Linked DNA regions of Lytechinus pictus. The protein of the gene in region 2 interacts with the protein of the main gene of each other region in a biochemical or structural test. Links are inferred from orthologs where the notes say so. Each region holds a gene or a part of one and is shown on either strand. Other genes may lie near its edges.

Region 1 (3,600 bases), on a different chromosome or scaffold from region 2:
GGGGAAAGATGTGCCAACTGGCCCCGCAACTAGCAATACTCCGAGATTATACCTCCTCGAACTCATTCATGACAATGCTGCGATATTCTGTAATAAATGTACAGATATTCATACTTTAGGAAATTGGCAAAGCCGATCTCCTAATATAAATATAAAAGTTAGGTCCTACCTTAATTCTTGCTCGCCAGAAGATAGAATGTGGTCCAGCCGCTCAGAATCTCAGATAAATTGCACAAATCCGTGAATAGAAATATATACACTTCACAATTTCAAATACAGTAGATAAAGGGACAGATGTCACAAAATGTCTCGCGAAGTAATGAGCTCATTAAATATGCAGAGAATATAGACTTCGAATGAGTGGAAGTGACGGTAAGGAATAAGATTGGAAAATGCAGAGAAATAATTAAGTATAAGTTGATCCTCCACAAGATTTGATTCGATCCTCACTAGCAGCTGGATGAGATGGTCAGCATGAGTGGACAGGACGAAGGCAGAGAGTAGAGTGATGATGTGGTAGAGAAAACAAGTTGTTTTTACCAACATCAGAAAAGATGAGACAAAGAAATAAGCGCCAAAAAGGGAGGCAAAACAAAGTTGAAAAGAACAAAGAAGAGAGAAGCAGACTGTGAGAAAAGCAAACATGCAAGCATCTCTGTAGTGATGTTGGTTATACCTGCAAGTTCATTGCAATAAACAAGGAACAATGAAAGGATGTTTGCTCCAAGTCTAGGAACAAAAGAAAGGTTGTTTCTCAATATAAGAATGTGTTTGCCAAGTAGATTTGGACAGAAAATGAGTTGGCTTGCTCTGTGAATGTACAGTATTGTAGTACATACACATGGCGTGAACAAGTGAGAATATATGAAATTGGAAATAAAAGAAAGAATTTATATACATATACAGAATGTTGAAATATAAATGAAAATATATACAAGGAAAGAATATATAGATGTAGATATATAAAAAGATATAGTCAAGTCACTACAATACCATAGAAAAATGAAGAGGAGCAGCATGGGAGGCAGTTAATTAGAGCCAGTTTTTAACAGAAGTTTGGCCAAAAGTACACTCTGCCACAATTTCCGGCACCGTAAAAGGAGAAATTAAAAAAGATGCGTGTCACCGCCAAAAAGGAGTATATTGTGAGTGGAGGAGGAACACCCGGAGGAACACCCCAAAAATGGGGGTGGGCCTCCTCCACATCTGAGCGAATCCACAAAAATGATTCAGGAATCAGAAGATTGTGCCTACAGACTTCATACAAATAGTTAACCCATATGATGACGATTACGGATTCTACAATCAAGCAATAAGTGCTTTGGATTTCTTGGCAAGAGGAAGCTTGATTGGCATGTAATGAACCATTGGGTGGGCAAATACATCCTCCAGACATGCACAGTAGGCCTACAGTCCAAGCCCACCTCCTCCATGTCCATTGCATTGTGCTCTAGCGCCATCTCTTGTTGATTGCTTGCAGCAGCATCCGAGATCCCGCGTTGATCTGATTCTGAGTTTTCTTTTGTGGAAATTCAATCTATACTTGACGTTTGGTGAGTAGAGGATACATGTAGGTCTAGATATTGAGTTCTCATGAACCTTGCGTGGTCAGGTTATATAGATTCTGTATTATTTGCTCTGCAATAATCTTGATAATTATAAGAAGCGCTACATATTCACAATTCAGATTTTAATATTTCAGTCCCACTGCTATGTTTTTGTGTTGTGTGTGCTCCGACCTTAGCGGAGGAAGAACACAAGAGAGAGAGAGAGAGAGCTGCTGTCTTGAATTCATCAGTTCATTCACCTGCATCTGAGTCTGGAATTTCAAACCTTGAGAGACTTGAGTTGCAGTAAAAGCAGAGTAAAATGATGAGCTTACTATATTAGTGACTGTTTGCAGCGCGACTTCGTTAAAAAAAGCGAGCGCACGCGTGTAAGTACATAATTAATGGCACGCATTTCCAATTTAAATTAATCAGCCGAGATGCCCGATATTTGGGAAAGTGCCATATTTGGAAGGGTGCTGGGTGTCAAATTTCCCACCGTGGGGAAACCATGCGGCAGCCATTGCAGATTTTTTTTCCCGATAGATTGAACATGTGCGATATCGGCGGCCACTCCTAGTACCAGTGAGGTCCAAACATTAACATGTATGGACCTCATAGGCGACAATGCTTTAAAAACAGGTTAGAAGTCCTGCACCCAAGTATTTTTATGATATTAGTGATTATTACTCGAAAAATGCAAGCTTTGTCCTCATTTGTTTAGCATTTATTAAAAAATTACCCATTAACTATAATCCTACTCATACTTTAAATGTTATAAAATAAAGGGAAACTTACATTTAGGTCCTTTTTCGATCTTTTCTTGGCAGTCAGTCCGGTCCCGTCGAGTGCGATCAAAGCGGTACGAAGCTGATTTTCAGATCACGTGATACGAGTAGTCATCTTCTTCTTCTTCTTCTTCTTTCCTTGGTTGGCAACCAGTTAACCAAGGAAAGAAGAAGAAGAAGAAGAAGATGACTACTGATCACCTGATCGATCGACTATCCTTTTTTAAAGACCGCAACAATTATAAATTTTATTATAAAATATATATAGAATAAATAATTGCATGATATTATATATATTTCTACAATTAAAAATATTTTGTGATATGAATTTAATATTTGACGTAAAAATCGCTATTTAGCAAAATATTTATTAAAAAATAAAAACGCCTTGGACACAGTGCAAAAAACCTAACAATTTGGCCGCGTTCTTAACAACTATTGTAAGGGGCGCTCTATTTATAAATAAAAAAGAATGTACAGCTGTCTACCGCAACGTGGTTTGTCGCAAGATTTGGGACAAATCCGTGGGAATTCTTGAGAAAATACATCAAAAGAACTGGTGAGTACCGATTAAACATTATCAAAGTAGTAAATAGGTTATACATAACTTGTAGATATATATTTTAAATTGATATTGATGCTTAGTTCCAAGCTAGGGCGGCCCAAATGTGCGTGAGTGGAGTCCCAGTTTATTAACACGGGTAAGTATTGGGGTGTCGCCTAGAGTGATCGGCGGCAACATTTCCTGCGAAAATCACTGCCCCCTTTTGAGATTTTTTTTTTGGTCATCGATCTTAAGTTAAGGAGTCCAAAATTAGTGAGGGTCATAAGAATCTTTGAAAGTCAAAATCGTGGATTTTAGTTTTTACCCCTGGATGTAACCCTAGGAATAAATTTTTTGAGCAGTAACCTGGGTCTCGTGTGTGCAGTTTAATAGATCAGAGGGTAAGTTCATGTATCACATGCACGCAATAAATCCCTTCGAAAATGTACATGTACTTGTAGATTATTATTGCTGATGATAGCACTACTTTGAAAGTCATTTATAGCAACAGCAAATTGAAGAAAAAATAGAAAAATTATATGAGCCTTGAACGAAACCAGCAGTACAAGCCTTTGTTCATTTGAACAAATGGTATACCAAAGTCTGTACAATGAAAAGACTGGACACTTTGCGTAACGCTTTGCATCGATTTGCATGTAAAATAGTTTAAGTGCCTAGTCTTTCCCTCGTAGTGTCTTCGATATGAATATCGCCCACTCTC
Region 2 (3,963 bases):
ATGTATATTTTTACAATTGGAAGGCATACAGCCGAGAACGAGGTTATATTATAACCTCGTTCGTAGTATGAGTGGCTACCGGTGCGAAACTGCAGCCAGGCAATAAAACTTGAGTTAACGTTCGTCATTAGACATTAGCCCCAAACTTCCAAGTCATGAAACTATCGAAAGTCAGATTCAATGACAAAGTCAATGTCAATCAATGTGAAGTTTTCGTCACAACATGATCAGTAGAGGCGCACGGCCAATATTGGAGACTGTCTCCAATGTGGGAGATTGTCTCCCCTATTAGAGAGAGTCTCCCATATTGGCCGTGCGCCTCTAGGCTCTACTGATGATGTACCTCGAGCGAAGTTCGTGCAGGCTCCACTCCACTTCACTACCGCTACACTACGCTTCACCTACCCGAACTTCGAGACCATGAACTCGATCGGATATTCCAAGTGACAAAAGGTGGGATTTTATGGGGAGAAAATACAAAATTCATGCAACATCACGATCTTTAAAAACAAGTGCAACTAATATTCTTACTTTACACTAAGTTTCACTTCTTTTCCATGCTTCTATCAGTCTCAAAATTGATGATTTAGAGCCAACATGAAGTAGGGTGTCTGGAGAAAAAAAATTATTTTTCTTATTTCAAGAAAATATCACATTTTCTTTGTGAATTTGAAGAGAAATGACCTTCAGACTGACAGAAATGTAAATTTTTTGAAAAAATTCCAATTATTGGCTGCAAAAAAGAAGAATGAAATTAGGTCAATTTTCAGCATTTCTCTGCCATAGACTGTGTAGTTAAGAAATGGACACACACAAATCCAAATTTCTAGCTTCCGAGAGCTGTTATAAATTCATTACTAATGCCAAAAACTTGTCCATAAAGAGTCCAATAGGATTTTTTATGCTCTATCTGATGGTATGATTTTTATAAAGATTTGGAAACCAGATCACAATGAAAAATTGCGACAAAGTGAAAAAAATTGTGCAAAACAGAAATTTCATTTTCCCATAGAAAACGCATGGAGAAATGGCAATCTCAACACACACAAAAATAAGGGTTTGCAATTTATCTCTAAATCCTTATTCAAAATGATCATATAAACTTGTCCTTACTGTCAAAAGAAGCCCCTGAATTTTCTCTTTCCATACATCCCAAACACAAGTTAATAATCAATTCAGATCACATTTTTCTAGTAGCCTGAACTTCCCTGAAAAAAATGTGCCATATTTCCCCCTAAATCAGCCTGTTTTATGCTGACACTTTTCAGTGTGGCTTCAGACACCCTACATGAAGTTCCTCACACGTATAAATATTAATGCGCTGCCGACTTCAAAACATCGCATGCGGGAGGTACCGGGTCTGGTCCGAGCTCGGACCCTCGCGCGCATGCGATGTTCTGAAATCGGCAGCGAATTATTACGTGTGAGGAACTTCATGTTGGCTCTAAATCATAAATTTTGAGACTGATAGAACTTAGAAGCATGGAAAAGAAGTGAAACTTTGTGTAAAGTAAGAATATTAGTTTTACTTGTTTTTAAACTTAAAGATCGTGATGTTGCATGAATTTTGTATTTTCTCCCCATAAAATCCCACCTTTTGTCACTCGGAATATCCGATCGAGTTCATGGTCTCGACGTTCGGGTTGGTGGAGCGTAGCCGTAGTGTAGCGGTAGTGAAGTGGAGTGGAGCCTGCACGAACTTCACTCGAGGTAGGCCTACTGATGATTATGATGATGTGGCAAAAAAAGAAAACCATTAACCATTTGGCTGCCAACCATTTCCTTTGACTTATTAGATCCTCGTTAAAGTGAATGATAGTTCTTTATATGCCTCAACCATCCCAAAATTTTCGAATTTCTGACTGGTATTAATTATTTATACTGATTTTGTCACAGCACAAATTTACACACGTGGGACTACCCGCAGGCGTAAACTTAGAAAAGGTTTGTCAATGAAGTCCAAACTTACGAAATGCTCCTTCACTTCAGAGTTATGCTTCAGCTGCAGTGTTCCACATCGATTTGGATGTACTTTTGGCAAATTAGACCTACTCAGCTGAAATGTGACGACATTCTGACTCATTCATGCCACTGGACAACTCATCGCAAGAGTCGCATGCCTAGCTACATGTAGCAATCCGTTTGCTCCATTTATATTTTGTGTACAAAATGTGTGTGAATATTGCACGAGTATAGTTTCCCGCGAAAACCCATGATGAATGATGATGCGAGGTGACTACTACTTCCGGTATTCCTCTCTATTTTTTTTTTCTTTCTTTATACCTTTGTCTTTATACCGCATCTGAAAATATACAGCGTTGTTCCAGCAGTCAAGTATCCAGGTCTATCTTTATGTAGGCTACTGTTTCATCTTTTCGAGGAACTACCGAACTAGTATGGTCCAGGGCCCAAGGTCCAGCACCGGGGTCCAGCATTTCTTTGAAAATAAAAGAAAGAATTAACAAACATCCGGACAAACATATAGGCCTATATAGTAGCTAGGCCCGGTAGCTAGGCTACTTATGGGGAAATGATTTTAGATTTGCATCCCGAAGATCAGCAATTCCCGGGCAATTCCTAGCTGACTCTCTCCCTCTATCCCCCCCCCCCAAAAAAAAAAGTGTTTTGTAAAGCTCAGGGAGCTCAGCTTCGATCCATGGCTTCCTCTGAATATTCAGGTCTACCCAAAAAGTGGAAGCGCAGATCGAACTTTATTTTGTTTCAAATAAAGGGGCAGAAATGGAGGGCATAATAAATGATATATGGGGCAGCCGAGGCAGATGACTCGACCCATCGATCTTGATCTGAAAAGATATTGTTTTTACCGTTTTACTTAGGGATATACTATTAGGGAGTATACTGAACGAAGTCATTATATGTATTCAGTTCCAAATTCCTTCTCCTCTTTAGGTTGGCCGGATCATGTCCTGGTGGAGATTATTGAATGTTTCTATTGATCATTATCTTACATTATTTTATCAGGCCATATTATGTTTAACAAATACAAAAACCATGAGGTCAAAATGTTTGAAGTGCATCACCCCTGGCATCATCACCATATACAGGCAGATTATCACCCGGCCCACAGGTGAACCTGATATTTGCACTAGCTCTTTAATAGGCCCCCTCATATCGCAAACTGGTGGCAGCAGTGGGATCAATAATGTACGATGGAAAAATAAGAATGTTGAGTTAAAAGCTGATTACTAAGCCTCATTCAGTCAGTGTGGCTAGCCACATGGACTTAGTCACCATATAGCTATAAATATTTTTTTCCTGAAAGGGGGAGATGGGATGTATGTTTAAAGGGATGGTCCAGGCTGGATATATTTATATCTAAAAAATAGAGTAAAATTCAAAAAGCAAAATGCTGAAAATTTGATCAAAATCGGATAAAAAAGTCATTGAATTTTAAAGATATGCATTATTCCGGTGAAACAGTTCGAGGCATGTCTTTATGAATATTAGGTGGGCTGATGATGTCATATCCCCACTTGTTCTTTTGTATTTTATTATAGGAAATTAGAATTATTCAATATTTTTCTACCAAGAACTGAACAATTGAATTGACAACTGATTGAGTGCATTAGTTATTTATTGCCGCAACTTATTTCATCATACGGAGACACATCATTTATACACATGTATGAAAAAATGAATCATGTATGATTTCATGTAATAACATAAGAAAAAGGAAAGTGGAGATGTGACATCATCAGCCCACCTAATGAATGTTCATGACGATGTGCTTATAACTGTTTTCACAATATATTGATAAACTTAAAATTCAATAACTTCGTTATTTGTTTTCCGATTTTGATGGAATTTTCAGCATTTTGCTCTGTGAATTTTACTCTATTCATTTAGATGTAAATAGTTTCAGCCCGGACCATCCCTTTAAATGCATGATACGATATGCAACCGAAGGTCGAAATGACGGAAAATAATGTTTTAAACGCATTT

What was found.
Region 1: the proteins of metal-response element-binding transcription factor 2-like (region 2) and histone-lysine N-methyltransferase EZH2-like form a complex in vitro, tested with the Drosophila melanogaster proteins (2 studies listed by BioGRID). The link is inferred for Lytechinus pictus from reciprocal best matches to the Drosophila melanogaster genes Pcl and E(z).

Annotation. Positions count from the first base shown.
Region 1 is NC_087245.1:20,681,103-20,684,702, forward strand, and holds the start of histone-lysine N-methyltransferase EZH2-like, read left to right. Parts: upstream 1-1,459; 5' UTR 1,460-1,553; intron 1,554-3,600. UniProt on the Drosophila melanogaster protein: Polycomb group (PcG) protein. Catalytic subunit of the Esc/E(z) complex, which methylates 'Lys-9' and 'Lys-27' of histone H3, leading to transcriptional repression of the affected target gene.
Region 2 is NC_087259.1:16,248,399-16,252,361, forward strand, and holds the start of metal-response element-binding transcription factor 2-like, read right to left. Parts: upstream 2,347-3,963; 5' UTR 2,084-2,346; coding exon 1,970-2,083; intron 1-1,969. UniProt on the Drosophila melanogaster protein: Polycomb group (PcG) protein.